Linked DNA regions of Pelodiscus sinensis. The protein of the gene in region 1 interacts with the protein of each later gene in a biochemical or structural test. Links are inferred from orthologs where the notes say so. Each region holds a gene or a part of one and is shown in the gene's direction. Other genes may lie near its edges.

Evidence for each region.
Region 2: the proteins of NR0B2 (region 1) and RARA form a complex in vitro, tested with the Homo sapiens proteins (2 studies listed by BioGRID). The link is inferred for Pelodiscus sinensis from reciprocal best matches to the Homo sapiens genes NR0B2 and RARA.
Region 3: the proteins of NR0B2 (region 1) and ESRRG form a complex in vitro, tested with the Homo sapiens proteins (2 studies listed by BioGRID). The link is inferred for Pelodiscus sinensis from reciprocal best matches to the Homo sapiens genes NR0B2 and ESRRG.

What each region holds. Positions count from the first base shown.
Region 1 is NC_134735.1:2,377,173-2,387,405, reverse strand, and holds NR0B2 (nuclear receptor subfamily 0 group B member 2), read left to right. Parts: upstream 1-5,862; 5' UTR 5,863-6,071; coding exon 6,072-6,615; intron 6,616-7,942; coding exon 7,943-8,223; 3' UTR 8,224-10,124; downstream 10,125-10,233. Other genes in the region: nuclear migration protein nudC, read right to left, coding at 3,482-3,574. UniProt on the Homo sapiens protein: Transcriptional regulator that acts as a negative regulator of receptor-dependent signaling pathways. Specifically inhibits transactivation of the nuclear receptor with which it interacts.
Region 2 is NC_134739.1:10,843,082-10,852,921, reverse strand, and holds the start of RARA (retinoic acid receptor alpha), read left to right. Parts: upstream 1-6,028; 5' UTR 6,029-6,133; intron 6,134-9,840. Other genes in the region: CDC6 (cell division control protein 6 homolog), read left to right, coding at 38-178, 705-794. UniProt on the Homo sapiens protein: Receptor for retinoic acid. Retinoic acid receptors bind as heterodimers to their target response elements in response to their ligands, all-trans or 9-cis retinoic acid, and regulate gene expression in various biological processes.
Region 3 is NC_134713.1:150,704,736-150,714,818, reverse strand, and holds the start of ESRRG (estrogen-related receptor gamma), read left to right. Parts: upstream 1-5,835; 5' UTR 5,836-5,993; coding exon 5,994-6,049; intron 6,050-10,083. UniProt on the Homo sapiens protein: Orphan receptor that acts as a transcription activator in the absence of bound ligand. Binds specifically to an estrogen response element and activates reporter genes controlled by estrogen response elements.

The sequences.
Region 1 (10,233 bases):
CAAGGAAGAAAAAAAACGCAAAATAACTTTATTTTTGGCCGGCCAGAATACTAAACTGCCACCTGATCAACAAGAGATGCTAGTTCCCATCCGTACTTCTCACCTCAGTAAGGAGAAATGTTTGATGTTATGTACTGAAATCCCTAGCCAAGTCTACCTGAAGACCTGTTAAAGCTTGGAATCAAACCCCTGTACCTATTTCTCAGATAAATAACAATTAGTGCATTGTGCAAAGCTATGCCTTCTGAGTTCTCTACCTTCAAGAGATTCTCATGAGATTATACAAGACTGAAATTCTTTTTGGTGTCCCCTTCCCTTGAAAGCATTATGACTACTATAGCTACAGTGTGGGTTTCTAGAATTAAAACTTTAAAATGCCTATGTGAGGATATTTTTTTAAATGTTCATCTCTCATAATCTTAGGTCTTTTGCTTATATGATAACCCAGTATTTTTCTTGCATGTACTAAGTCATTCCTCAGCTCTGAGCAACACTGTAGTAGCTGTAGGAGACCTTATGTTATCAAGTCTCTTTTATAAAAAAAAATTAGATCACAACACACTTAAATATGAAGAATTATAAGTTGACTATATTATAATAATACTAAAATAAGAAGTAAAGCACCTGTAATTCAGTATCCTAGACTTCGGTTTTCTTGGTTTATCTGTAAAATTCTGTAATTCACAATGGCCAACAATGCAAACTAGGGACTTAGTATCTACCACACTGGTTTAGTAAAGCCAGGCTTTTGCACAGCTGCAAGTAAAGTCTGGAGATCTGAGTTGTTACAATCCCTTATCACCTGTTCCTAAACTTAGTATCTCAGTATCACATTTTTTATTTAAAAAATTGTTCAATCTGCTGGATGAGAGAACTCTTAAGTATCCTCACTTTCAGGCCATCAACCAAGCAATGCTCTCAATATCCAAGGAAAAGATAAATGTGGTGTTGGACTGCTTTGGTCTATTTTAAGATTAATTTTCACTAGGACTCAACAGAAGCAGAGACAAGTAGCTGCTCTAATTATGGCACAGCTAAAGAATAGCATTTTGCAAATGGTCCAGAAGCATGGGAAGCAAAAGGGAATTGCTTCAATCAAACATTTGATGGAGAAGCAGACTAGATTGCCATGCTGAAACATATCTATTTCTAGTTGAAAATTCCTGGGAGGTGGGAGAGGAAAAGCAACTAGTACGCACTGAGACTAAATCGCTGCCCGCACCTCAGCTGGAGCTAGGTAAGAGTTTAAACAATTAACCGATAAGCTCATGCTTATTGGTTCATGTTACCATTTAAACTCTGCTAGGGAGCAGGAGTGGGCAGCAGGCAGCCTGGAGCTTGTGGTGCCAGCAGCCTGGGGAGCCCGTTTAATTGTAACTATAACCGATGGACTTTCTATCGATTACACAGTTAATTTTTTTTAAACATAGTTTACATCCTAGCTGGAAGCTGTGCTATGTCAGTGCTGCTGTTACGGACTAACCCAGTAACTCTTCTGATACATAGTATCTCTTAGGAGTCCTAGGACACCTTAAAGACTAACAAATTTGATTTGGGCACAAGCTTTCATGGGCAAAGACCCACTTCGTCAGTTGCATGTTGTTACTACTGTTTCCCTGACTGATGTAGGCAGGTACTTGATCCAGAAAGCCACAGTAACCCAACCATCCTATTTATTTTCCTAGGTCATTTGAAACATAACGTAAGTCCTTGCAACACTTTGAGACGAGTGCCAGTAACAAAATCTATCTATAGTGGCCAAGAAACTGCTAGTGTTTAAACAATTTTGCTTGCATCATGGTTGCAATGCTAGAAGCTGAGATTGGATGACAGGAGATGGATCACTTGGTAAGTTGCCTTGTTCTAATCACTCCCTTTGAAGTACCTGGCACCAGTCACTGTTAGAAGATGGAGCTACGGTTCCTTTAGCCTAGTATCCTGACTCAGGGTGGTCATTCTTATGGGTACAGCATATCAAGGATAGGACTCAATGACATGAGTGACAAACATAAATCAGCCATATAGGACGGGCTTGCCAAGTGGCGGCGAGCCTCGCTCACCAGCTGTGCGCTGCACATGCAGACCATGTGCTGACCGTGCTGTGCGGCCGTGCTGTGGCGAGTAGATTATGTTAATTGTCAAGCCCTGCATATAGGTACTAATATATGTAATGCAGTTGTAGCTGGGATAGTCATTAGAGCATTACAGAGACAAAGCAGGTGTGCTGATAGCTTTTAGTGGACTCTTAGAATCATTCCTGGACTTGTAAAAGAGTATGGCTCCAAAGCTGCTTCTCTCTCACTAAAAGAAGTTTGTCCAAGAAGAGATTACCTCACCCAACTTGTCTCTCTAATACGGATACTCAGTATTTTTTATATTACATTTATATTACATTTTTATATTACAATTTCAACAAAAAGGGGATGTAATATAAAAAGTAACACCAGTGTGGATTTGTTCATCTTGACTGTCTATAAGGGTTCATGTAGGTTAACAGCACCATATCAATCAACTATATATTGAGAGTATGTGTCTGTCTCAGAACTCCTCCTAAACGGTAAGAGCTAGGACTACCAAATTTGGTATACGGCTTCCTCATATCATAACTTAAAGCACAGTAAAAGTTTGGTTGTGCCAGGAAAATGGGATGGGCCTGGAATGGGGTAGCATCTCATAAAAACATACAGAAAAGAGACAAATCACCAGAAAAGTGAAAGAGGCTGGCTGGGGGCATTTGCCCTGTCCAGGATTGCCACAACACTGAGCCTCCCACCCCTCAGGCATCCTTTAGAGAGGATGGGAGGAAGGGGTGAACCACGTCCCCCAACTCATACGGGACAAGGGAATGAGAATGGTTAATCAATTCATTAGTGGGGGCCGGAGCTGTTCCTTGCCCACTACAGGCAGGGGCTGCTCCGTCCCAAGGAGCCCAGCACGGGTGGGGAGTGCTCCTACCCAGCAGGAGCAGCCCAGCGACAGAGAGCCCACCCTGGACATGCCACAGGGGCACCCAGGCCTGGCCAGAGCAGCCCCTGTTGGCGGCAGAGGAGCTGGAGCGCCCCCACCCCCACTGCCGGTTAACCGTTTAAACACAACGTTAGCCAATTACATGGGGTTTTACATCCTCACGTGCGGGACGTTGCCAGCTGCTTCCCTTGGTCAGGGAGCGGGGGGGGGGGGGCAGTTTGCTGCAGCCCGCCCCAGAGCACGCGCCCAGGCGCTGGCGGTGTCTCAGAGCCCCCCCAGGCCCACGCAGGCCCGGCACAGAGCAAGGGGGGGGACGGCCGGGAGCGGGCGTTACCAGCCCCCCCCCACGCAGGCCCGCCACAGAGCGGGGGGGGGGCGGCCGGGAGCGGCCGCCACCAGCCCCCCCCCCACGCAGGCCCGGCACAGAGCGGGGGGGGGGCGGCCGGGAGCGGGCGTTAACAGCCCCCCCCCCACGCAGGCCCGCCACAGAGCGGGGGGGGCGGCCGGGCGTTACCTCCCGCACGCCGCCCTGGTGCTGCTGGGCCATGGCCAGGAGCATCCCGTCGAAACGCTCCTCCTGCTCCGCCGCCTCCGCACTCGGCCCCATCCTTGCCCGCCGCCACCGCTGCTCCCGCGGCCTCAGACCCTCACACCGGAACCGGAAACCCAGCCACCGCCCGCCAGCCAATCCTCGCGCCCCACGGCCCCCTCCCCGCTCGCTGATTGGCTGGAGCCGCGTCCTGTCATCGGAAAGGAGGCGGGAGTTCCACGCCGGGTTCCGCGCGTGGCGTTGGTTTCTATGGTGACCGGCCGCGTCCGGGGCCTTCCAGAAAAATCGGCGAGGCCGCGTGGCCCCGAGTGGGTAGGGAGTCAAAGGTCAGGTGTTATGGGGCATATCCACGTGGGGTGGGAGCCCTAGGACGGGTTGGGGGGGGGGAGGCCTATATTGGGGTCAAAGGGCGCGATGCCTCGGAGGGGTCAAAGGGCAGGAACCACGTGCCTCAGTGATCAAAAGGGGGGGACCCTCGTGGGAGCCCATATTCTTGGGGGGGGCCTCTGCCAAGGGAAGGCTGTGGGGGGAGGGGCACCAGGCGTCCTGCCAGGCCTCTTGGGCAGGGTGGCCAGGCGTGGCACCAGGGCTTCTCAGTCGCCCTCGGCGCCGCCCGCGTGCAACCCCGGGCATCCCAACCACACCGGGGAAGCTGGCTCTCTGCCGCTTATGGGCACCCAGATGGCTGGGGCAGAGCCTGCCTGCGGCGGGCAGGAGGGAACATCCTGTCCTCCAGAATCACTGTGGAAAACACCAGCGGCAGCACACGGGCCCCAGCGGAGGCACCCACCTCAAGGGTCAAATGCGCTCACCATAGTCATTTAAGGCAATGATTCTTAACCCTTTCCATGCTGCTGCTGTTAGTAACCCTCCCTGGTCAATATCATGCAGAGAGACCAGTAACCTATTTAGATGAACCTATTCACATTACTAAAATTACACTGTTAACTACTGGGAGAAGGGATCTGGAAGCTAGTATTTTCCTAAGACTTTCCATAGTTGGGTGATCTCCACTGGGAACTTCTAGTGACTGAAAGTTCCACTTGGCGCTACACTGGGTTCGTTGATGTTTTCTGCTTCTTTCTAAACATGTAGGCTACGTCTAGACTGGCATGATTTTCCGGAAATGTTTTTAACGGAAAAGTTTTCAGTTAAAAGCATTTTCAGAAAAGAGCATCTAGATTGGCATGGATGCTTTTCCGCAAAAGCACTTTTTGCAGAAAAGCGTCCGTGCCAATCTAGACGCATTTTTCCGCAAAAAAGCCCCGATCGCCATTTTCATGATCGGGGCTTTTTTGTGGAAAACAAATCTGAGCTGTCTATACTGGCCCTTTTGCGCAATACTTTTGCGCAAAAGGACTTTTGCCTGAACGGGAGTCGCATAGTATTTCCGCAAGAAGCACTGATTTCTTACAGTAGGAAGTCAGTGCTGTTGCAGAAATTCAAGCGGCCAGTGTAGACGGCTGGCAAGTTTTTCCAGAAAAGCGGCTGATTTTCCGGAAAAACTGGCCAGTCTAGACACAGCCCTCTTGCCACCTGCTTTCCTCCCACTCATTAACTTGCCTTCCAGACAGCCTGGCTCTTCCTTCCTGCCTGTTCTTTAGAATCAGGCTCCATGATCCTGGAGGGGTAGGGGTTTCAACTAAGTGACTTCTTCCTGCCCTAGAAGTTCCTCTGAGTCACGACACTCCTTGAAGCATGAAGACATAAACATCCATGTATGAACAGTATGATGCATCTAACCTGTCTATAAAACTGATGAAATCTCCTAGGAAACAAGGCAAAAAGTAAAAAGGCCCCATACGTCCGTGTTTCCCCCCTCCCTAAAACACACAAGATACTTGAGGCCCCAGCCTCCATCTGCTGCCCTTTGTAGTTCATTAGGTTTTTTTTTTCTTTATCTGCAACAACAGCAGCCTGTTGTCAACAAGGTTAAACAAACAACCTGCTGATAAAATGACTTCCAGGTTGCTCTTTCCAAGGCCAGAGTTTACAGGCTGTTTTGCTACTGGTCTCTTGCTCCAGACAAGGTCTGTGTGTGTGTGTGAACTCTTTGGCAATGACACCTGTCATATAGCATTGCATGATTACACACCTGGGGCCTTGGTGCCATGGTACGGGCTGGGTTAATGACTTTGTTTATACTGTTGGGTAATCCAGATAAGAAAGCCACTCAATCTGCCATCCCATCCCATCCTCCTGGCCCTAACTGGCACTTTCATTGAGAAAACCTTTATCTGCACCAGTGGAAGCTCCACTTCCCCAGCCAATCAGTACTGAGTTGAGTTGTTTTTCAATGAACGGTGCTTAGTTAAAGAGAGGTCAAGGCTGCTAAGGGGGTGTTTCACTTAGAGTCTTATAAATAGAGCCAGGAATAACAGCCAAAGGTATAAGAGAGGTGACCGACCTGGGAGCAGCAGGCTGCAGTCAGAGAGCTTTGACTGATACAGCAGCCTTTGCAAGGGACCAGGCGTGCTCACAGATCCACCCAGCCAGGTGCACAAGAGTCTCATCCTCCTTGGGACCTGACGGGATCCACTGGCCAGGCTCAGCAATGACTACATGCAGCATGGATCTGGACTATGAGAAATGCCAGTGCCACAGTGAGGAGAACCAAAATGCCATCCTCTACGCCCTCTTGAGCCAGAACCTGAACCACAACTGGGGCAGCCACAGCCCATCCCAGCAGCGCTGCCTGTGCCAGAAGCGTCGCACCGTCAGCCTCCGGACACCTCAGCTCACCTGCCAGGCAGCCTCAGATGTCCTTGTGAAAACAGTCAGCTTCATGAAGAACCTTCCCTCCTTCCAGCTGCTGCCTCGGGGGGACCAGCTGCTGCTTCTGGACAGCTGCTGGGCTCCACTCTTTATTCTGGGGCTGGTTCAGGAGATGGTGACCTTTGAGGTGATGGAAACCCCAGCCCCGAGCATGCTCAAGAGGATCCTTCTCGATGGCCAAAGGAAGAGACAGGAGCCTGAGAGGGCACAGCCCACCTTAGCTGGCGTGAAGAGGCTACAGTGCTGCCTGAACACATTCTGGGGCCTGGACCTGAGCCCTAAGGAGTATGCCTATCTGAAAGGAGCCATTCTCTTTAACCCTGGTGAGTGCCGAACCCTCACACCCCTTTCTGTTGGCAGGGACAGATGGCACGTCACACAAGAGTATCTAGCAATGAATAGCTGTCCATCCATCCAGGGAGCTCAAAGCTCTTACAAGCTAAGGATATTAAATATCGGGTAATTGACTAATTGAACAGTCAATGCATTTTTGCATCAACTGTTCAATTAGTCGATAGGGTGCCTCTGCCTTTGAAGCGTAGCAACAGTCGTTGCTTAAATTTGACACTTTACGACTGGGCCTCAACAAAGATGCTAATTATCTTACCCATTACGAAGATAGCTTCCCCAATTATCCCCTCTAATATCATTAGCTCACAGACATTAACCTCCCGCCCTCATCCCCCTTCTGTTCTGAAATGTGATTTGTCCTTTCTATATGTGTTCGCTTTTTTTGATTGTATCCCTTTGGTATATATGGTCATGCCAATTTTCTTCCACAATTTGATCTGAGAAAGTGGGTCTGGCCCATGAAAGCTCATCACCTAATAAACCATCTTGTTAGTCTTTAAAGTGCTGCATGGTCCTGTCTTTTGTTTCAGCTAGACCAGACTAACACGGCTACATCTCTATTACTAAGCTGGATGTAGTATCCCTATTTTAAAGACAGGCCAACTGAGGCACAGAGCATTTTCAGGGCTAATTTTCAGCTGTGCTGAGCATCTCCAGTTCCCATTGACTTTTGGAATTCAGGCTGTTAGTGACTTGCCCCAGTTGGTCACTTGCTTTAACTCACAAACCTTGGAGTCAACTGTGCTGATAGGGGTGGCTTATTAGTTTCGCAGTCTCTCAAACCCTAACCAGGGTTGATTCAGTTCTTCCTCTTTTTGAAGCAAATAAACTAAGTCCTATATAGTTTATTGTGATGGAAGGGACTATTTTAATCAGATTTTAAAATTGCGGTCTTGCATACCCTTCAGCAAAAAGAGGATCTCAGAGCATGTTTTTCTAGAGCTGCATTTTGCCCGAGCTGTATTGGTCAATATTTTTCCTCCCTTGATGTGTTACACACTAATAATGAACTGCTGCTCTCCACCTCAGACGTGGCTACGTTTCAGAGATGCTGCATATCTATAGCTAGTACTTTGGGATCCTCATATACTATGAAATGTAAGGAAACATGTTTATTTATCTGCCTGTGCCGGTGTGCAGGCAGTAGAAAGAAATCAAATTTGATTGTGAATCACTAGCAATAGCGGTGAACAAGCCTTCAGCAGAGGCACATGCAGGATAAGAGCCTGGGCCTGGGGCATAGCTTGGGAAGCAGAGGCTAATTTTCATTTGTATTTCCTGTTGTTTCTCTTTCCATAGATGTCCCAGGTCTCAGAGCCTCTCTGTACATCGAGAGCCTCCAACGGGAAGCACAGCGAGCGCTCCGAGAAGTCCTAGTGCCCCTGCACCCAGAAGACCAGGGCCGCTTTGCCCGCATCTTGCTGATTGCCTCCACCTTGAGATCCATTCCTCCTGCACTTATCACAGACCTCTTCTTTCGACCCATCATTGGCAATGCAGACATTATTGAGGTGATCACAGAAATGCTGTATGAAATAACCAGCCGGCGACTGACTCTTTCGTCACACACAGCCTCTTGAGAGATCACATTCAGGGCCACCCTCACATGCGCCTCCTGAGCACTGAGTTGAGTTTCAAGGGACAATAACATTAATATGATGTGGGGATTTGGTGGGAAAGATACTGTGGACTTTCAAACACACCTGGTTTTGTGTGTGTATTTCACTTGGGCTCAGGCAACAGCTTCAGCAGTTGAAAAGTGCAGCTAAGCCACATTCTAGAACATAGCTCTTATTTATTCAGCCCCTGTACAAACTGAACTCATAAAGCCAAATCATTTCTGAAGTGTGTGTGATTTTACTATTTCACTGCACAGTAAAGTAGAAAAAAAAGCATGGCCAATGTCCTTGAAACAGTCCTTGCAAAATAAACCTCTGGGCTGACATTTTCCCTAGGAAATATGCAGATCAGAGAAGCACTTCTTTGAGAAAGGAGGAGATTGAAGCCAGGGCTTTGTACAGAATGGAGTTTCCCAGTTTTACATGATAAAATTTCCAGAGAAAGACTCTGTTACATACACACACACACTCACAATCTGATTTTTAGATGGGCTCAGCACTCAGTCAGCCTTTTAGATGTTGCTCAGCACCTCTGAAAACAGGCCTGCAATAAATGATGGCTGTGTCTACACTGGCAAGTTATTCCGGAAAATCAGCCGCTTGAATTTCCGGAAAAGCACTGACGATCTAATGTAAAATCATCAGTGCTTTTCCGGAAAAACTATGCTGCTCCTGTTCGAGCAAAAGTCTTTTTCCGGAAAACAGTTCCGGAAAAGGGCCAGTGTAGACAGCACAGTAGTGTTTTCCGCAAAAAAGCCCCGATCGCGAAAATGACGATCGGGGCTTTTTTGTGGAAAAGCGCATCTAGATTGGCCACGGACGCTTTTCCGGAAAAAGTGCTTTTCCGGAAAAGCGTCCTGCCAATCTAGACACTTTTCCGCAAAAACTTTTAACGGAAAACTTTTCCGTTAAAAGCATTTTCGGAAATTCATGCCAGTGTAGACGTAGCCAAAGTGTTGGATTAGAGCTCCATATTTTGTGATTCAGGGTCAAATCCCAACCCCACTGAAGTCTATGGTAGTTCTGCCATTGATTTCACCCTCACAGACTATTCATACATCGGGGCCTAGTTCTGCAATCTTTAGTCACGCTGACCAGTACTTGACTTGAATGGAATTAAGGATGCCAGATAGTTTAAAAAAAATACCGAACATGGTAGGAAACATTTGGTTGAGCAAAAAAAACCCGGACACCTGGCAACCCTAAACAGAATCACTCATACAATGCTACCTAGTGCTGTGGAATCGGGCTTTTACATAGTACCTGCATGTCTGTGTTGCATGACCAGGTTATTAAGTGTCCTGGAGTCTTAAGGAAGTAGCCATTACACATCTATCCCTGTTTCAAACACTGACAGGCAAGGGCTGCACAATATTAAAGCTAAAAGAGTTCACAGAAACCCACGTTTTGCCTCCCTGACTCAAACTAAGTAGGCCTGGAGAAGAAAATGGGAGTATTCTGATTAGTGTTCTTTATGTTTGTACCACTGCTGTTAGGGTGGCAGAATCTACTACCCTTCGTTAAAGTGGCTAAATAAGGCTGCATTTTAGTGCTATTAAGAACAGGTAGGACTGATGAGCTTAAGTCCATTTGTGTAATGGTGAGTGATATTTCCGAGGTGGTACATGCCATAAAGGAGGAGCTATGTCAGTGGCTATACAGTCCATTCTTCAGCTGGGCATCTGCTTCCCAGACTACTTGATGGTTGCTCCTGCTCCCATTGTAGGTGCTGATCTATATAAAGAAAACAGCCTTTGCACAGAGTTCAGACATAAGTATTTGTGAGTGGATGTTAGTCTGTGATCTGTATATAAAATGCAGTAAATTATTTTTTTAAATAAAATGTTTTACATTTTGGAAAATGTTGGTTCTGTTTTGGAAGGTTTTTTTTGGTGTGTGTTACATTTTATTGAAACTTAGAAAAACCTGCCACAGGTCACATAATCCAAACATTCAAATGGGATGAGGCGC
Region 2 (9,840 bases), on another chromosome or scaffold:
GCGTGTGGATAATGAGCGGTCCCTCTCTCCCTCCCAGCTGCACGAAGCCTACAGCAGAGTCTGCCGGCAGCAGCAGATGGCAGCAGTAGCCCAGTCCGAATGCCTCTCCCTTGCCACCCTCTTGGAATCCAGGGGCATCCTGACCCTGAAGAAGGCCAAGGAAGCCAGGCTCACAAAGGTATCCCCACAGCCCACACTGCTTTCTCCTCATGCACAGACTCCAAAAGGAGCTGAGATGGGGGTGGCTGTGGCACGCTGCCTTGGAGAAGAGCACTGGAAAAGGCAGGGTTAGCTGGGGAGCCAGCAGGCTCAAGGAGAACCCGAAGGAGCTGTGGACAGCAGGGGAGGGCTGCCCTGACTTTTCCAGTGGGCTCCAGAACTAGAAGGGCTCCCCGTGCCAGTGGCTCTGTGGTTGGGACCTTTTTAATTCCTGGAGAATCTGACGCTGGCCACGCTCCATCTGCAGCCTGCCTCTGAAAGCACCAGTGCTTTGCTCCGGTAGCAAGCCAGGTGCCCCAGTACGTGAGGGGCGTGCAGGTGAACAGGTATTATTGGCCAGCCACATGGGTCGTTCCTAGGTCTTTGCTCCTGCGTCAGTGGACCCTGTAATATCCTGTGAGGGTTTCGGTGGCCTGGGCTGTGCTCATGGGCTACTCCTCACGTTGGGCTGGGCTGTGTCATAAGGGGCCTCGTGTCTCCTCCAGGTTTCACTGAAGATAGAGGAGAGGGATGTGGAACATGCCCTTAAGGACGGCGTCTTGGTTGGAAACATCCTGGCCGGGGGGCGGCTCTAGCCTCCTCTACCTGGATGCCTCTCTTCAAAAGGATGTGGCTGTCTCTGTAGCTCAGCGAAACAACGGCCTGGGCTCCGTTGTCCGCGGTAACCACCTTCGCTGAAGGTCACGCTGAGCCAGGCAGCGGAGCGTTGAAAAGGATGAATTTGATCTGCCCTCACGTCTCGGCATCTTCGAAAGCGGCCTCGTCTTTGTTTTTAGCTGTATATTTGTTTTTAAACGTGCCGCCGGCTGCGGTGGCTAACGCCCTGTGCCTGGGCCATAGCCCACTTCACCCTCCTTGTGGTGGATTGCGAGTGGTTTGCGAACGGCTGCGGGCCCTATCCTGCTCCTCCTGGAGGCTGGCTGGCCGGCCTGCCCTCCTTTCCTCGCAACCTGCACGTACGCTGTCATGTTGCCGTTTTTAAACAGCTGGAGATCAAAGAGATGGTGCTCAGGCAGCAAGAGGCTGGAGAAACGAAACCATTAGCAGCATGAGCGGCTGCAGGAGGAAATGAGATGGCAGGCGCTGCACTCCCAGCCTGAGCGCCTTTGAAGTCTGGTTATTTCCGCGGAGCAGATGTCGCTCTTAGTGAGGCTTATTGTCTCTGGGGCTCGATCAGGGGTTCGCATGAAGCCCTAAGATCTGTGTCTCTTACCTTGCAAGCAGTGGATCTATTTATTCCTATTTGTCGGTGGCATTCTGGAGGAGTTAGGCCTCCTCCGAAAGGCTGGGCTTCCTCTCCCCGTTCCTGCACGCTAGAACTGAACAGGACATCTGCCCTATGATGCCGCCTGGCCTGCGGTTCCTCACCTCCCTCTGCTTTGGGTTTCAATTGGATTCTACTCTTTGATTCTACCCTGCTTTTTATCCGGGAGGAGTAACCCTCTTGAGAGATGAGGATGCAGCTGCCCTTGAAGCAAGCTTCCTCCAGCAGGGGGCGCTCCTGTAGCACCGTGAACCCTGCGGCTCTTGCAGGGACCAAGTTTGCGGAAGTTGGAGGAAGCCGCCTTGCGTGTGTGAGGCCAGCCAGTGTGGGGATCCAGGGCCACCCCTTCTTCAATCTATTTTTAAATGAAAAAGTTGCCTTTCCGGGTTGAAAACGACTTGGGGGTCTGCACCAAGTGTGATCAGTTTTAATGACCCTTCTGTGAGAATGTAGCAAAGACTAAGATGTGGGCCAATGCAGTGAATGCTTGGCATCTGTTATGTCCTTAACTTCTCTCTCCTCCCATGGCTCCTAGGTTAGAGCTGCCCTTGGACGGCAGGAGGTCTGTTCCGAAAGGCAAGTGCAAGGACATACCTCCACTGCGAGGCAGACTCAGCTGTATTTACAGGTTGGGAACCTATGATGTAAATAGATATTAAAGTCCTCTCTCTCTCTCTGACGTGTGGTGCTCTCTGACCAGCTTGACAGGTCCTTCCGCCTATCTTCCCCTGCTGCAGAGACATGACTACATTCTCTGCAGCTCATGTAACAACGTTCAAATATCTAAAAGGTACTACAAGGGGTGGGCTTAAAATCGTGCAAGGGGGGTTGAGTTCGGACATTAGGAAGTTTTTCCTACCTGGCAGAGAGGTTAAGCCCTGGAATAAATTGCCTAGGGAGGTTATGGAATCTCCATCATTGATTTATAACGGCAGGTTGTCACAAGCCAGGGGGTGAACTCGGATTCTCCACACCCACCACCGAGAGGGGTGAGTTCCTGCCCCTTGCGTGGCCAATGCGGCATGTGGAATAATCTCTAAATAACGTCTCTAAAGCCTGCTATCTGTGCAGCTGCACAAGCAACCCAGCTTCCTGGCTATGGGAACTCATCTAGCCACGTGCTACAGCGCATGCGTGGCACGGCTGACTTAGCCTAGGCATTAGCCTTCGCTGTCCCAGGTGAAGGCAGAGAGGGCAGGGGCCCAGAAGTTGAGTAAATGCAGGAGCCCTGTTCACCTGGCTCTGCTGTACTCCCCGCTCAGATTGCTGGGGGGGAGGGGCATACAGACAGCTACTTTCTCTTGTGGGGCTGGCGCCTACCTAGCTGTCACCCCTGTGCACAAAGCCAGTGGTCAAAGAGTTAATGGGCTGCTGGGGAAGATGAGCTGTGACCTAATACGAGGCAGGCTCAAGAACAGATGGGAGCCTTGATTTAAATTCCATTTTGCTGGCTGCTGAACCCTTGAGAGAGTTGTTCCTCCAGCTACCGCCTGGGCTGGGTCCAGTGCCAGCCGGGCTGAACTATTAGCACATTTTCCAAGATGCTGGCAGGGAGAAGGGGTCAGCCAGAGCCTCTATCACGGATACAGCCTTGTGGGCTGCTATTTCCTTGCCCTCCACAGCGCCCAGGGCTGCTTTGCTGCGCTGGCAAGCTGAAAGCAGATTTATTTTTAACCACCCCTGCTGCAGCCTCCCAGTAGGATCAGAGACTCGCTCCGCATCCTCTGCTGTCACGGCTGGTTGCTACCCAGGGCTAGAGAAGGCTCCAGCGCGCTTTCCCCTAGCGGGAAGGGCGCTTGCGGGACTCTGGGGCATGACTGCTCTCAGAAGAGGCAACAGCGCCTTACCACCTCCGATAGTTCCCGTCAGGCTGCACAGGGGGTGGTGCCCAGGTGCCATCAGATCTGTGTTGGCCTCATGGAGGGAATGGGGCCAGGATCAAACCCTTTGCATGGCGATTAAAGCCCAGTATGATCTGGCCTTCAACAGGCAGGCTGCAATCCCCTTGAGCAAGGACTTTGCTGCTGTTATGCTTCAAGGCTAGAGCTAGGCTCTTCCAGAGCAGGCCTGCACCTGTCAGCTGCCCCTGGGAGCAAGACGCCACGCCTCCACTACCACCAACACAGCTGCCTCTTTGCTTGCTCGCTCTCCCCAGGGAAGGCCAGGGAAGGGCAGAGGCCTGGCACTCATAGGGGCTGGCCCCACAGTCCAGGGGCCAGGCTGCAAGGCCCTGTGCTGGGTTTGAAGCTACTCAGGGGAAAGGAACTGGGAGGCAGAGACTGTCTGGGGAGGAATACGGGGCTGCTCACCTGCTGCTTGCCCCCTGCCTTGGGCTGGCAAAGTGCAGAGGCAGGAATCCAGACTGGATCTAGGGCCCAGCCTCAGTCATGCCTCTCAGCAGGCCCCGCTGCTGCCTGTCTGGGTGCAAAGTGGTCCCAGCCATTTGAATCAATTGTCCTCAGGGGGCTCACATCCCTCTGCCAGCCAGAATCTGAGCTGTCCTGCTATGTGGCTGTGACGGTGTGCTGGGGTCCCCCGTCTCCTGCACCCCCAAATGGCACGAACAGACTCCCCCAGCCAGTAGAATGGAGGTAGTTTATTGCTTCTCCAGGATACAGCACAGCACAGATGTCATCTGGTTACAGGAACTGGGGCTAAGAGGCCTCAGTGCCCCCCTTGAGATGGGGGAGTCCCAGCCCCCTCCCCAGCTCCTTCTCCCCTGCTTTCCAGACAGGAACTAACCACCTCTCCTCCAGCCCTGCCCCCAGCCAGGGCAGCATCCACCTTCCTTTGTTTCTCCCCATGGGGGGTGGCTGGTCAGACCAGTTTGGAGCCACCTTTGCATAATGACTCCCCCCTTCCCTGCTGGGTCTTGCTACAGACAGCAGAGGTCGCCCCAGCCCCAGCAAGTTACCCCCACTACCTCACAGTGGCATAGCCCCTGTACTGCCGCTGGCTCGTGGAGAGGGGAGGCTCTGGCTGGGCAGGGCAGTGCGGGTTGGCCCTGCCACAGGAGGGATGCTCTAGAAAAGCAGCGAGTCTGGCCCTGTGGTTGGACTTGGTCCCGCCTTGGCCTGGAGCACAGAGCTGCTGGCCCCTTTTCTCCCAGACAATGGCTGGCTGTAGGCAAAGGCCAGATCTGCGGTGCCTACGCAGGGCCCTGGGCCTAGCTTCACACAGCAGCGGGCTGCGCCCTGGCACTAGACCTCCCTTTGTGTTTTACAGGCGCTAATTGGGTCTGAATCAGGCGAGGCTGCTTTGATCTCTCAGCCATTTCCCACAAAACCCTCATCAGCGATTTCTAATGAGGGGGCCCCACCATCTCCTCTAGGCCTCTTCCACCCCCCATCCCTGCTTGTTAGGCACCGGCCCTGCTTGGCAATGCCGCTGGGGGACAGGCACTCCAGCGTGACACCAGGCTGGGTGCCAGGGAGTGTCGAGGGGTGCCCCCTTCCGGCCTGGCCACAGAGCACCCCTCTCCAGTGGGACTAGAACCCAGGCCCCTCGCAGGGTGCGGGCACAGCCTGTGCTACCTGCTGCCCTTTGGCCAGGGTTGGAATCCTGCTAACAATGCCCCTGAACCGGTTCAACCTGTCCGGTTGCGTCTGGAGAGTCCCAGGAGTCAGGGTGTTACTGCTGAGGCCTGGGGCCCAGTCCCATTTGGGTCATGACACTCTGAGTCCCACGCACCCTTCCTGCGCGCCTGGCGGCCGCACGCTGACTCTGTTCCGCCCCAGAGGTGGCTGCAGTACAGCAGCTGGCCCAAGATCCTTGTGCTTAGGGTGGAGCTGTGCAGCTTAGCAGCCTGGGCACCGGGAGCTGGCCTGCAGCCGTTTGCGGGACCGGTGGCGTGGTTGGCAGCGCGCTTTGGGCAGCGGAAGGAGCGAGAACCGCCCCCCCTCCCAGTGATGCCTTTGTCTGAGCAGGGCCACGGCCCCAAGCCGGGATGGGTGGCCTGCAGCTCCAGGGGATTCTCACCACCCTTTGGGCTGTCCTGTCATTTCCGGCGGGTTTGATTCCTGGCAGCAGCATCCGCGGTGCTCCAGGACAATTGCCGGGCCAGTGAAGTGAGGGAAAGCACCGGGCCGGCAGCCCAAGGGGAGGCCTTTGCTCCGTCCCTCCCAAGCACCCTGCCGCGCAGGGTCCAGGGTGGGGCGGCCGGGGGCTGGCTCGGAGCAGAAGCGTTTTAGGGAAACTTCCCTGCGAGTAGTTGTGGCATGAAACCCGCTGAAGTGCCAGTAAAACCCACCTCCCCCCTGCCCCCCCACACTTGGGGCAGCCAGCTTGGGAACATGCTGGGCCCCCAGGAGCCACCCCACGGGCGGAGAGGGGGCGGGAACGGGCTGGAAACAGGGGAAGAAGGGGGGGGTTGGTTTGGCTTCTTTAGCACCCGAAAGGCCCCGAGCCGGGTGGGGCCCAGGACTGCACGGGAGCCCCCCCCCCCCCCGGTCCGCGTGCACCGAGCGCGCTTGGCCGCAAGGCCCCCGCTGTGCTAGGGCGGCGCGGAGCCGGGCGGGCGCTAGGACCGGGCGCGGCCGGGCTCCTGTTGCAGCTGCAGACGGTGCTCACCCTCCCCCGGCAGCAGGGGAATCCTGGCTGCCGCTTTGCAGGGCTTCCCCCGGCCCCCGGCCCGGCCCCGCGCTCCGCCAGGTAAGAGCGGCCCCTGCCCCCTCCCGTGCAAATGCGCCACCAGATCCGCGCGGGCGGGGCGCCCTGCTGCGCCCCCCGGGGCACCCCCAGCCTGGCCGCGCTGGGGCAGCTGCTGCGGCGCCCCTGAGCCGTGCACGGGGGGGTTCGGACAGTGCCCCCCCCAGGCTGGGTTTGTCCCTGGGGGGGCCTTGTCCCTGCCCCCCCCGCCCCCCCGGCGCGGTGCAGACTCCCTGGCGTGCAGCGAGTTGCAAAGTGCAGCCGCGGGGAAGGGGAAGTGGGCGAGGCTGGGGCGAGCCGGCGGCCGGGCTGGGAGGCGGCCTTGGCTCCCCATGGGGAAGGGCTTCGGGGGGGAGCGGACCCGCCGAGGGCCCGGGCAGAGCGGGGCCTGGCTGCCGAGCCGGAGCACGAGCTGCTGGGAACTTTCCCCAAGTCCTGGGTCTCTCCAGGCCTGTGCCCAGCCCTGCGGGGGAGACATGAAAGGCAGGGACAGAGCCCTGGAGCCGAGGGATGTTAGTCACAGCTGGATCTGCCCCCCCCCCGCCCCCCCATGCCCTGTTTGGGCAGCTGAGCTTCCTGCTCCGAGCTGAGCCCAGCGCTGGGGCCACTTGCATCAGTCTCGCCAATGCGTGTAAAGACCCGCCTGCCCCCACTCCCAGAGGTGGCTGCATTTCGGCCAGTGACTCCTTGTGTGAGCTGGGGGAGGGGGGTTTCTCTCTGTGCCTCAGTTTCCCCAGTTTAATGGAGGATGTTTGCTGCAAAATCTGGAAGGCTTGACCTGGGAAGTGGGTAGTTCTACGGGGGGGGGGGGGGGGAATTTTCCCATTCGTTCAAAGAGCCCAAATAGGTTTTTCTGGGCAAGAAAAGGGATCAAACCCGCCTGGAAGAAAACTGCCCCGATCTGTGTGCCAAGGCCTCAGTGCGCTGCCCCCGGCCGGGGAGCCAGGCCGGCCCCGATCCTGCCGGGGTGGTGCCCGCGCAGGCCTGGTGTGCAGCAGGGAGCAGCTCCGTGCCTTGCTCGCTGTCGGGTGTTGTGGAATCCAGCGCTGGGCCGGGAAGCTGGCAGATTCCGATGGCGGCGGCTGGGCTCTGACCATGGAGCAAGTAGAAGGGGGCTGGTGAGACGTGGCCAGGGCCAGTTTTCGGGGTCCCCGGCACAGACGCCCAGCGGGGGGGAGTCGGGCCGCAGGCTCTGGTCTGTGTCAGAGGACGTCTGGCCAGGGAACGAGACTGACTGACTGTTCGCTAGTTGCATGGCTGCTGCTCCCAGGGCTGGGGGTCTGCTTGTGGCCCAAGCCCTTGGCAAGGGGCGGATGAGTTTGTCCCCTGCCAGGTTTTACAAAGAGAGGGGGCATTGCTTCAGTGTTCCGCATGGGGAAACTGAGGCAGGGGGCAGCGTGGACTTGCCTCAGATTACGCAGCCAGTCCCTGAAGGGACTGGAAACAGCCCAGGAGTCCTGACTCCAGTTGCATCCTGTCCAGCAGCCACCGGTGTGTTTCTCTGGCCCATGTCTACCCGCCGCAGCCCCCCGGCCTGCCGACAGGACTGGGGATCCGCTAGCACCTGCTCTGAAGGGATCTGTGCCCTGGGTGCCCTGCCAGGAGTTGCCAGCTGCTGTGCGCGCACCTGGGGCTGGGTCTCAGAGAGGCCTGGGCTGGGCAGCCAGCTGAGGCAGGTGGGGGGCTGGGTGCCTGCTGCCATCTCTGCCCTGTGATGCCCACCTGAGGACAGACGTCTCACGCCCCAGGGACCAGGCCTCGGGTCGGGGTGCAGCACTGGGTGCGGCTGGGGAGCACCTGGAGGTCCCCCCCATTTGGTGGGGGGAGGTTGCTGTGCTTGACGTGCAGCCTCCCAGCTCCCTGGCTGTCAGTTGTGGGATCTCCCCCCCCCCCCCCCCGCTCCCGTGTAATTATCTCGCGGCTCCGCAGGCTGCCGAGCGAATGTAGGTCATGCAGATGGGTGAGTCCTGCATTTCCATCAATTAGAGCGTGCAGGGGGACGGGGAGGCGTGCCACAGCCGCCCGGTGCGCCAAGGGGGGCTCAGGGCTGGCACCGGCCAATGCTTCTCGCCCACCCAAGGCTCCGACCCCATCTCTCCCTCCTGCGGCAGGGCTGGCTGGCTGGGGAGCCTGGGGGTAGCACGCAATGCGGGGGACCCTACCCAGCCATCTGGGGGCTAGCACCCTCCATGGGCTGACAGGACTGGGGTGGGGGTGCTGGCCACAGCTCAACAGCCCCCTCCTGGCTGGGCTAAGTACGAAGGGGGGGTTTGATCAGTTTTCGGGGTGGGGCAGGAGCATCTTCTGCCAAGACTTTAATTTGATCAGAGCTGGGAATGAGGATGCCAGCCAGTTTCAGGGGAGGAGGGCAGTGGGGGTCTAGTGGTTAGAGGGGGCTGGGAGCCAGGACTCTTCAGCCAGTGGCTCCTTGTGTGAGCTGGGGGTTCTCTTTTTGCCCCTTTCTGTGCCTCAGTTTCCCCAGCTGTTTAATGGGCAATTGGGAGAACGGCTTTGAGATCCTTGGCGAGGCTGCTAGAGGGAGTGCCATCTGTCTGGCAGGGTCGATCTGCCTGGCTGCCACCCCTCCCCATGGCAGCATAGGGGCCTGGTCTGGAAGCACAAACCTGCCAACAGCCTGCAAGGGGGGTCTCCTGAAAGTGCCCCCTGGCTCTGTCCCAGCATACCCAGTCCTGGTGCCCCTCGGTCCCGACCTGCAACCCCTGCTTCTCTTTCTTCCCCCTCAACCCTCTGGTACGATCTGCAGCAGTCAGGGTGGGGGCAGGAGGACTCGATTAGATTTGTGGGGGCTGGGGGGTGGGGCCTGTTAAAGCGGGGGGTGGGAGCTGGGAGTCAGGATGCCTGGGTTCTATTCCCAGCTCTGCCCTGGACTCGCTGCATGGTGCTGGGCGAATCGCTGTTCTGTGCCTCAGTTTCCCCACATGTAAGGAGGGAAATAACCTTGCTGTCATGGGGGTGGAGGCTTTGCTGTGGTTCCCCCATTGGCTGTGTCCCCACAGCACAGAGAAATGAGGTTACCTGCCCCCCCGCCTGTCCTCCCTCCCAAAGCTGGGCCAGCCCCTGCCGAGCTGCCTCTCTTCTCAGGGAGAGGGGGTGCCCCCCCCGACCCCACAGTGAGTCTCCCAGGCCCATTGCCCCTGAGCACGTCCTCCCCCACCCCCGTTCTCATTTCTCGTTCTCTGGCTGCACGGCCCATCGGGCGCCCGAGGGAGCTAATCGGATCTGACAGCTGAGAAATACCACGTTGGCTTTCAGGCCGAGAGTCGGGGAAGAGGGGGGTGCCAGCCGATCTTAAAGGGGCAGACAGGGTACATCTGGCTGCTGCTCACAGTAAAACCCTCCCCCTGCATCGGGGTGTGCTGAGGTAGGCAGGCGTTCGGAGCTGAGCACAGCAAGGCCTCTGCCATTCCTGCTGTCCAGCAGCAAGGAGTTCCACAGGCCACAGTGAGGCCCCATCCCTGTGGGGGCCCTGCACTAGGCTGGTAGCACTACGGTCCCATAGTCCTATGGGAGGAGGCACCAATCCAAGGGAACTGGGTATTAGCTGCTCTGCCCAGCACCAGCACCACTTCCCTGGTGCCCGTCTCACCCCCGAGCAGCAGGGAGTAGAATCCAGGAGTCTGAGCTACTCTGAGGTGCCCAAACCTGCCTGCTCTGCTCCCCAGGGGCCCTGCCAGGGGCCAGGTTTGGCA
Region 3 (10,083 bases), on another chromosome or scaffold:
GGAATTTAGCGCTTGAGGGGTTAAATTACACAGGCTCCCCTGTGGATCAGCTTATGCTTGGACAGTAATAATAGCAATAACATTAATAATAAAAATGCCAGAGCAAAGGGAGTGGAGGGGGAGTAGAGGGGAAAAAAAGAAAGAAGAGTGATGGAAGATAGGCTGGGATAGTCAGCAAAGAAAAAAACAAAACCGAAAAAACCACAGAAAAACAACCCATCCAATCTGCAGATAATGTGTTTTTGTATGGCAGGTGTATCAGCCAGAAGTCAGATTTCATAGGGACACCTGCAACATGCACATGCACAAACACATATTACAATAGCTTTGAGGATGGTTAGTAGCTTGTGTGTGTGTGTGCGCGCACACAGTCACTTCAAGCCATGATATCCTAGGGCAGTTGTAACAAGCAATTCATGTCAGCTCACGGTAAAGATTATTGGTGTTTTTACTGTGGAAATATTTGCACTCCATCTTCTTTTCTATTTTTAGCTCCCGGAGCTTCCAATCAGGTGGTAGACCAGAAAAAAACCCACCCCCCACTGCCAACCCATCAGATCTTGCACCTCAATTAGTCTGAACTGAAACCCTAATCTCACTTAGGAATGGCCTTTGATGCTAAGTTTTTCTTCGTTGCCTCCTTGTTTTGTGGGATACTATATTTCATGAAGGTTGCAGAGGAGAAGGAAAGACAGAATTTCTTTTCTTGTTGTTTTGTTCTGAGGGAAAACATATTTTTGTGGAAAAAAGTGTTTTCTCAGATATAAAACGTTCGACAAATAAAAGGGAATTCAAAAGCAGAATAATGTGGGCCCTTCTTTTTTTAATTCTTGCATGAAAATGCCACTATCACAATAAAGAACAGCAATTCATTGCTTTAGAAAAAAGCAATATGAATTTGTCCTCTCTCAGATTTATTGTTTATCATAATCATCTTTCTAGTGAAAAGGGCTAATTTACTCTTTCTATAGGAATATTTTAAGTGTGATTATCATAATACCACATCTGCTGAAAAGGTCTAAAATAGGACATTGACCTTGAATGTGTTTCTGCATTTAACATGTGGTGCTTAACATTCAGGAAACAATATAACTGCAACTCATTTATTAATGTATAATCTCAAAATGTTAACTCTTGCTCTGTAAATACGTGACATAAGGATTGCTGAAAGCTTGCAGTGTCCCATGAAGTACATGCGGTATTTTATCAGTGTAAATATGTATAAGATTTTCAAGATTTCTGCTGGGAATACTCTGTAACTAAAGTAAGTTTTCCCTTTGGTACTGCACTAGTTTATGATTTAATTTTTACTGACATTCCACCAGTCATATTATTAGCTTCACAAAATGAAAGTGAAATAATCCTGTATTAATTAAACAGAGCAACTGAATTCCCTCAGTCATTTTATCCTTGGCTGTCTGAGACAGTAACACATTACTGCTTCTCTGAAGAAACTTACACTAGGGTAAGAGCCCGGTGTAATCGAAAAATATCAATATTGGAGTGGACACTTCATTTCTCTCTAATGAGAATAGCCTTTTTTTGAGTGTTGGGCAATGGGTAGGCACTTTTTTTAAGGCTCTGTAAAGGGTGTTTTTTATTCAGCAGAACAATTTTCACTTACAACAGTAGGAAAAGGTTCTATTCTGTAGCAGTGAAGGCAGTTATTTAAAAATTAACGTCTGTGTTCTTGAAAATAAAGGAAATAGAAAATATGGAGTGTATTGCTAAGATCAGGTGACTTGAATATACTTTGATAATATGGCAAAGTGTTTGCTGTGATTTCTTAGAGAAGATATGTCATCTGCTAAAACCGAATTTTTAAACTAACAAACAGCCCTCAGCTTTGTGTGTAGAACAATTCCTGTTTTGTGATGAAGTTCTAAAGAACATGTTGAGGTAGTGTTGGGTTTTTTTTTTGTGTAGGATCAAAGCAGGGAGTGATTAATACTAAATACAGATCGAAGAAGCAGATGGTTCTAAAGTAGTTACCTGCTACCATTTGCCTAACCATTTAAAAACAGGTGAACAAAATTTGCAACTCATTTTAGTGAAAAGATTTTTCTCTACATTAACAGTGTGCCCATAGATTCACTGCATCCCTTCTAATAAGAAGCACTAAAGGCAAACTCCAAAACCAAACCAGTTATGTGTCTAGGAGGAAGGAGACAGCAGCAGAGCAATTTTAATGAAATTAGCATGAATAGCATGAAACAAATTTAAATTGTGTTTTTTATTTGACACTAGCTCACCTAGTTACCTGGCAGAGTGGCAAATAAACATTAATTTGGTCCTCTCATAGTTCCTCTCAAACAACGAGTGATACTCCAACATTTAATTAAAACTTTATTGAAAATCTCATAGCCCATATGTAGGTTTTGCTGAGGTGGGAAACAGCCTTCTTAAATATAATAGGTTCAGAAAAAGTATTTATTTAAAAATAAATAATCTCTGAGCAGACGCTGGAATTAATAATGTTTTTGACCCCTTCCCAAATGTATTTTGGTCTCTTTTAAGCAAATATGTTCTTGTCATAATATACTATGCTGCTTCTGTAAAGTGCCACTGAATCTTCACTTCTTCGGTTGCCTTGAGGTAGATGTGATTTAGGAATCTGGCTCCTTGGATGCCTTGAAATGTCGATTGCATTTAAGTGTGAAGATGCTTAAAGATGTACTGTTCTTACATTTGGTAATTATATGCATGGAGATGTGTGGAGATGCAGACACTGCACAGTAATTCTCATTGACTGCTGCGGACACTTGTGACTGTTTCCTTCCCCCCAATCCCCACACACACATACCCTTTTTTTTGGTTCCATTTCTACTATGTTTTGTATACTCTTCATGGTAAGATTTTTTGTGTGTGTGTACATGTGCATTTTTAATCCATATCCTTTACGGAAGTTCTATAAACCAAAATCTACCTTGATTTTATGTTCTCCCCAGGGCTTTTTATTTATTTAAAATGTGGCACAAGAAGGTTTATTGAGAACTTTTACTACAGTTATCTGCTGTAGAAGCTTTAAAAAAAAAAAGCGCTGAACAGTAACTGGGAAACCCATGTTCAAAACTGTAGATGAATTTCAGTAGTGGAACTAGTTGGAATTCCAGACCCTGGTCTGGTAGAGGTGACACTTTCAGTCCCAGCGGAGGAATCCAACTGCTTTGTTTATCAACACATAAAGTATAGCACTGTGTTTCTGGTCATCTAAGGAGCAGCACAGCAGTGAAGGCAGCTGCTTGCCTGGATGAAAGATGGTTGGTGGAAAGATAGTGATGGTTAATAGGGGGAGAGAAAGATTGGATAGGGAGGGAAAGCTAAGGGGTAGTGAAAACTATGTGGACACGAAAAGGATGGAAGACAGACCACAAGAGAAGGCAATAGACTGTCAGATTTTCAGCAGCTGAGTATAAATATACAGTCTAAAAGATAATGAACAAAAGTAAACATGAGGTAAATTTTGGTTTGATAAGGTTTTAAATGGCTTAATAATCCTATTTCAAATTATATATGTTCTAGGAAATAATGATTTAAAAATGACCTGTATCAAATGACTCATGTGTGGGTGTGTGTATCTCCAACACGGATCATTTTTTAATAAAAAACACACAGGTACAGAGTCTGAAGGAATTTCAAGCCCTAATGTCCGTATAGTTAGAAAATAGCTATTTTAAGAGTATGTATATCTATTTAAAGTTATACATTTAAACTAAAGATGTTTATTAGTTTATATGTTGCTGGAGATGTGCATGAATAAACCAGTTAGTGGGATTTTTACTTTGGATTTATATGGAAATCAAGAAATCAAGTATAGAATAAATATTTAATTTTCAAGTGTTGATCTGATTCCCACAACCACAGCATTTCTTTTTCTCTGTATTTTTTTAAGGAAGGGTTTTTAATTCCGTAAAATGATTAAATGTATCTTGTTTTAAGGTTTGATTAAAAACTAATCTTTTTTTTTGTCTGTATGGTGTGTCTAAAGGATGCTTGGGCTTTACATCTCAGAGCTCTTCTAATGCACTTCTCACAACCAAATTTACATCTTAATTACAGAGTTCACATTTAACAATATAGACAGCATAATGCTACTGGTAATTAAGCTTTTACTACCTGCTTTTATTCAGTAGTTAGAGCTATAGTTTTGCTGTGTTGGTTCTGATCCTTAAACTTGCATGTATTAATGCTTAATATGTAAGGAACAGGCCTATCCTTTGCATCTGGTTGAATACATTACACTGGAAATCACTGTCTAACATAAAGAGCTTTAAACATGTCCATTTCATTTTTTTTCAATTAATTTCTGGGGTTTCTTTTCCCCAAAAGCTGTGTAATAGATTTGAAGAAGACATTTGTATTCCCATTTGTGAATGGTATTAATGCATTCTGAGGGTTGCACTGATTTGTTTTGATCTTGAAAGATTGTCATTTGCATCATGTAGGGCTCCAGTCACAAAAGATTTGTGCTCACTAGAGCTGAATTATAAAAAATTGTGGGTCCTCCACTCTTAAGAAGGTAGCAGTTATCTCCTTGTCATAAATAGCTGATATTTATTTCCACCGCAACTTGGTAGAAAAAATTCTTTCTCTGCTACCAGAAAATGTATATTTTAGTTGTAATGTTAATAATAAGCTGTAGATTTTGAGGGAAATGTATCATACCCCCTTTTAAAATTGGTGTTTTCAGTGTAAACTGTGTCTGATTTTGCGTATGATCACTTTCTTAAAATTGGTTTATTCAATGAATTTTATTTAATAAGGTATATCAGTGTGAATTATAAAAGCCAGTGGTTTGGAGCAATTGGGTTCAAAGATGATTATGTAGGCATATATACAAGTAATGGATTTGATATATTTACTTCCAGTTTGTTAAAATTTTCTTTAAACAGTAAATTAAAAAACTGCAGGGGTATTCATTCAGACATACCACAATGTAGTCTGATCTTATTAAAATGAAACAGACTGAGTTGAGTCCATTATAATCCCTCCACAGTTACAGAAGAAATTAGTCAGTGCTGGAGCTTTCCCTTCTGTTTATGAACATGCAGATATGTGCATTTATGGCTAATGTGTTAAGTATGCCATATTAACATGGATCTGATATATGTATGTGTACACATATGTGCTCATAACAATGCGTGCATCTGTGCTGTTGAAACAAATGCATTTTTAAAATATTAGTTTTTCTGTTAAGTTGGTATCGATTTTCAGTTCTAAATATTCTTTTTTTAAATAAAACTGACAACACAAACTTACAGTTAAAATGACAATGCAGATCTTTAGAACAGTTAATTTTGAGCTTAGTTTCTTAGTACATACCAGAAAATTTAGAAGATAAAAAAATCATTTTTGCATGAAAAAAGCAAAAACACTTAAACCCTCTTCCCCTCCCCCAAGCAAAATCCTCCCAAATAACAACAATGGAATAAACAGACAATAGCAGCACAAACTTAGTTCTCTACCTTATGATGAATTCTTCACAACATTAACTGAGAGTCTGCATGTATTTCTTCCATTCAAGGTACTTGACTAATAGTGTTTTAAGTTACAGAAAACATCTAGTGCCTAGAGAGTTATGCTAATTAGGTTTTCTTTGTAGCCCCTTAGAAAAATATTGGTAACATTTACATTTCTTTTTATTAAGTCCCTACTCTGTTTTCAGTCTCTTTCAGTTTCTCCACCCCTCTGTACCTGCCTGGCTTTTCTCAATCTGTGCAGTCTCTGTTCTCCTCACATCTGATTGGCTAATGTGCTACCAATCCAGTATCTGTCTGGGCCAGTGGGACTGCATATGTAAAGCCCTACTTCATATTAATAAGCTCCAATCGGGGCTTTAAGTCCTTGATTAGGAGACTGTGAGAGCTTTTGGTCCCAACTGGCTGTGCCTATAGGCTTGTCACCAGGAGAACATTTGTGTTAATTGCACTGTGCTCTGTCAAGGAAACTTTGATTTATTGCTGGGGTGCACAAATAATGGTTGCCGAGCGCACATGGATTCGGTAGAACTTTGTCTTCCTGAATCTTTTTCCCTTCACTACGAAGAAGAGTAGGTATCTTTCTTCCTTTCTTTTTTTAACCTTTTTTTTTAATGAAAATAATGTAAACATTGATTCAGGTAGTGCTGTGTGGCTTGTGTGTGCATGAACGGTTATTTGTGTCTGTCTTGTCTTTTTTGTGCTGAGGATGATCTGCTAATTCAGTAAGTGGAGAATTGTTCTCTGACTACAATGTTACCTTTGAGTCAAAGCCCTGTGACTGTCAGTAAAACAGCTGTGTGACAGTCACTTCTTATTCAGGTACTAATAATAGGCACTTGGCACAAATGCTTAGTGAATTGTTAAAACATGCCTTGCAGTAGGACACATTTTCCCAGGGAAAGGATTTAAAATAATGTATTATACAAATGATTTACACTAGTGCCTTTCTTGTGTATATGCGGTTTGATAGATATTCTGGTCTCCCTGTCATTTTTGACTGTGCAGAGTTAGCCGGGAAAATAACTGCTAATACCTCTTTAAGGATGAATATTCACAATTAGCCTTCTGCAATTCAGGTCTAAAATGCTGTTCAACCAGCACTTCTTCACTGACATATCAGTCTACTGAATAACAAGGGAATTCTGTGCTTTTTAATAAAGGAGAAGAAAATATTAAGGAAGAAAAGAACCAAACTGACTTTAATATTTTGTACTTTAATAGAGAACTGATATAATGAAGTACATTTGTTCCCATTAGCCTGTAGCTTGTTTCATTGTGTTGGTTTGTCCCTGCAAAAGACAATAAACTACTTTTTTAATATATGATTTTATATAGTTGTTTCAGCTGTACCTATTAACTACCTAGTTTTGTATATATGCAGGTATAAATACTTGGACTCTCTGAGATCAAAAGCAGAAAACCCAAACAAAATCCAGCATGCTAGTGGTGATGAGTGGCTCATAAACTTGATTTCAACCTATAGTCAGGATTAAATATTAGTATATCATGGGAGCTGTCATTGATTCATTTTTCTTTATGTCGAGCCAGTTATTTTGCTGGGCTTTCCTATTACACTAGCAATGAATGTTGTAATACTGAAGAAAAATGCTAATAGTAAGTACATCCCTAGATGCACTGGGTAGGGAGGCTGTATAGAGAGGTGACAGTGTATTATAGGTAGATGCCCACTAGCTGTCCTTAGTGTCTGCATATTGCATAGCTATTTGTAATTAAGCCAGAGATGGAAAGTGACTTACAGTGACTGTATGTTTGTGATATAACATAGGAGTTAAAGAGAACAGCAGGAAATAGACTTGCCATTAGGAAAACAGTTTGAAGTAAGAGAGGGAAGAACCCCCTTTAAAACTGAAGGGGTAAAGAGATGAAAATAAACAAAGATAGGTTGCCCACTAAGATATGGTTTATAGGTCAGTGCTCCATGAACTGCAGTAAATTGTCTTCACATATGAATAAATGCAATGTTCACAGCTTTCACTTAATATTTTAATTTTTCCCTAGAAAATAAGGGTTTAAAAAAAATTAAAGGTAGGAAGAGGTTCTCTTTGAAAGGAGCTTTCCTGAATTTACCTTCTTACAGCTAATTTGAATGATTAGTTTAGATAAGCCTCTTAAAGTAGATGCATTTAAATGAAATCAGGGCACATGTCTTTTTGGCTCTGGTGCAAGATTTAAACTAATTCTCCTCCCCCCCCCCCCCTTTGGCTCAACTAAAAGTCTTCTTAAAACAATCCAATTTACTTTCCGGATGTAGGCTGTGTTGGGTGCGTGGTTGAGTGGACAGACAGAAATATCTAATATTCAGAAACACATCTGTGACTCTGTCTCAATTAATAAACACCAAAACTATCAATATTCATAGTAATTGCATTTTGTCTGTAAGCTGTCATGTCCATATGCATAAGGACCTACAGAGAATGCTATATAAGTGAATGAAGCATTTCCAGAAGTGGATAATTTCTACAGTTAATTATTGCGTAGAGGAGGATCCCAGCTAAAAATTGACAGAACATTTTGGGACATCTGCCTGACCGTCGCTAGGTATGCTTTGATTTTTTAAGGCAGAGCATGTTAAAGAATGCAATCACTTACAGCCATTTACAGCCTTGGTTTTTGCTTTACAAAAGTAACAATAATTCTAATATTTAATAATAATAGTTAATAACCTAACAGATGCAATAAATATATCTGCTCATTTTGACATATGTGTCAGTTTAATCATTCTAAATGAATCGTGCTCATAACATGAAATCTCCTTCAACCTCTGATTAAAATGTAACATTGACTACAGGATTATAGAGCTGACTTAATTTTACTGACTGTTTTAACAGTTGTCACAGCTGTTGGAAGAAGGAAAGGCAATTGAAATACTCCAAAGAAGGGGAGGAGGGGGAGGAACTAGTTTAGTAAATTTAAACATGATCTCTGAATGCCAAACATAGAAAACTGAATAGATTTGTGACTGCAGATAGCTTCTGTGCAGTGTGTACATTTGCCCTTTGTGCTTCATTCTATTTGTTTCATGAATTTGAACCCCTCGACCCCTTCCCTACTTTCCCCATTCAAAAAATATGCAAAAGAATTTAATGAAAAAGAAACAAATGTTCCTGTTACAATGTTGCATGCATTTGTATTTGATCTATAGTATGAGAAATAAAATGCACAGATTATGACAGGAAAACTCAAATAAGATAAGTGAAATTTAGATAAAGAAATGGACCTATAATGGAGTTACATACAGTAGAAAAAATACTTTGATGCGATGACAGTGTACATATATTTCATATTATTTTTTAAACAATATCATGCCCTAATCTTGGTATTGTTTGTATGTTTACTTATATATAATGAGAGAGGGAATTTGTCTTAGTTTCATTCTTCCCCTATCAAAATATTTTGATATAGCTCTTAGTTACAAATAATTTGATCTGGAAAAAAAAGCAATCTATGAAGGTGGAGAAAAGGTGGGCTTATAGAACATTGCTTTACCAGTTAGTGGGAAGTGACAACTGACTTCACTCTACAGTTGCTTTCTTTGACGTGGAGGTTTGAACCTCACATATTACAGGTGTGTGTTATCTTGACCCTTTTAAAAAATAAAGCAAGCAGTTAGCATTCTGGTCCCAAACCAATAAGGTCTAAGTTCCCCTGCCAAGCACAAAATGTAGAACCAACCTTTCTGCTATGAAATAAGCCTCAAAGTGTGTTTGAATGAATAGATTCCTTGTATGGTCTCTCCTTGGACAGCAAGAGGGCCTTCCTCCCTGTGTCTGTTTTTTTTTCTTTTTTAAGTTTTGTTTTTGTTTTTCATAGACTTTTTTTTGGCAAGTTTTCAAATCCTGCAGAAAGTGTAAAGGGCTTGCTTTGAAATGGCTCTTTGACAGCTTTCCATTTACTGAGGCTGGCCCCTCTTTTAGTGATGGTTGCTCATTTTAATGTGTTTATGGTTGTGCTCTTTTATTTACTGAGCCTGGTGCGTTGCAGTGGTAATTAACCCATGTTATTAGCAAAGCCCTTGTGGATATCCATTAATTCTCTTGAATGGCTGATAATTTTTTCTACTCTTTTTTTTTCTTTCATGGCATGGTGTCCTTTTTTTTTTTTTTGAAGAGCCCTATATAAAGCCCTAAACCTTTTATAGATTTGTTTCTCTAAAGCTCAGACATATAGAAAGCTCTGGACCTATAATTCTCCACTAAAGAACACCTCCACTCTTGGCAAAGTGTTTTCAAAAATGCTAATGGGAGTGGAAGCAATAGAGAGAAGCAATAGCAATTATTTAATTATTATTTTCAAAAACACATGCCAACAACAAAGCGTAGGGCTAGCCTTTACTTCCTGGAGCTGCGTTAGACTGTTGTGACAGTTCAGGTGCTGGTTTTGTTGTTTTAATCAGATTTCAACTTAGCTAATAGCACTTTGGGCATTTAAAAGAAAATATTGAGCCAGCAGAAAAATACTTGTGCTTGCACTGCTGAGAAAAGATAAGGACTGCCTCATTAGCCAAGCCCTACTTTTGCAATTAATTTCAAATACATTGTGCTATTCATCAAATACAGAAGGTAACTTGTCTATGATTATATTT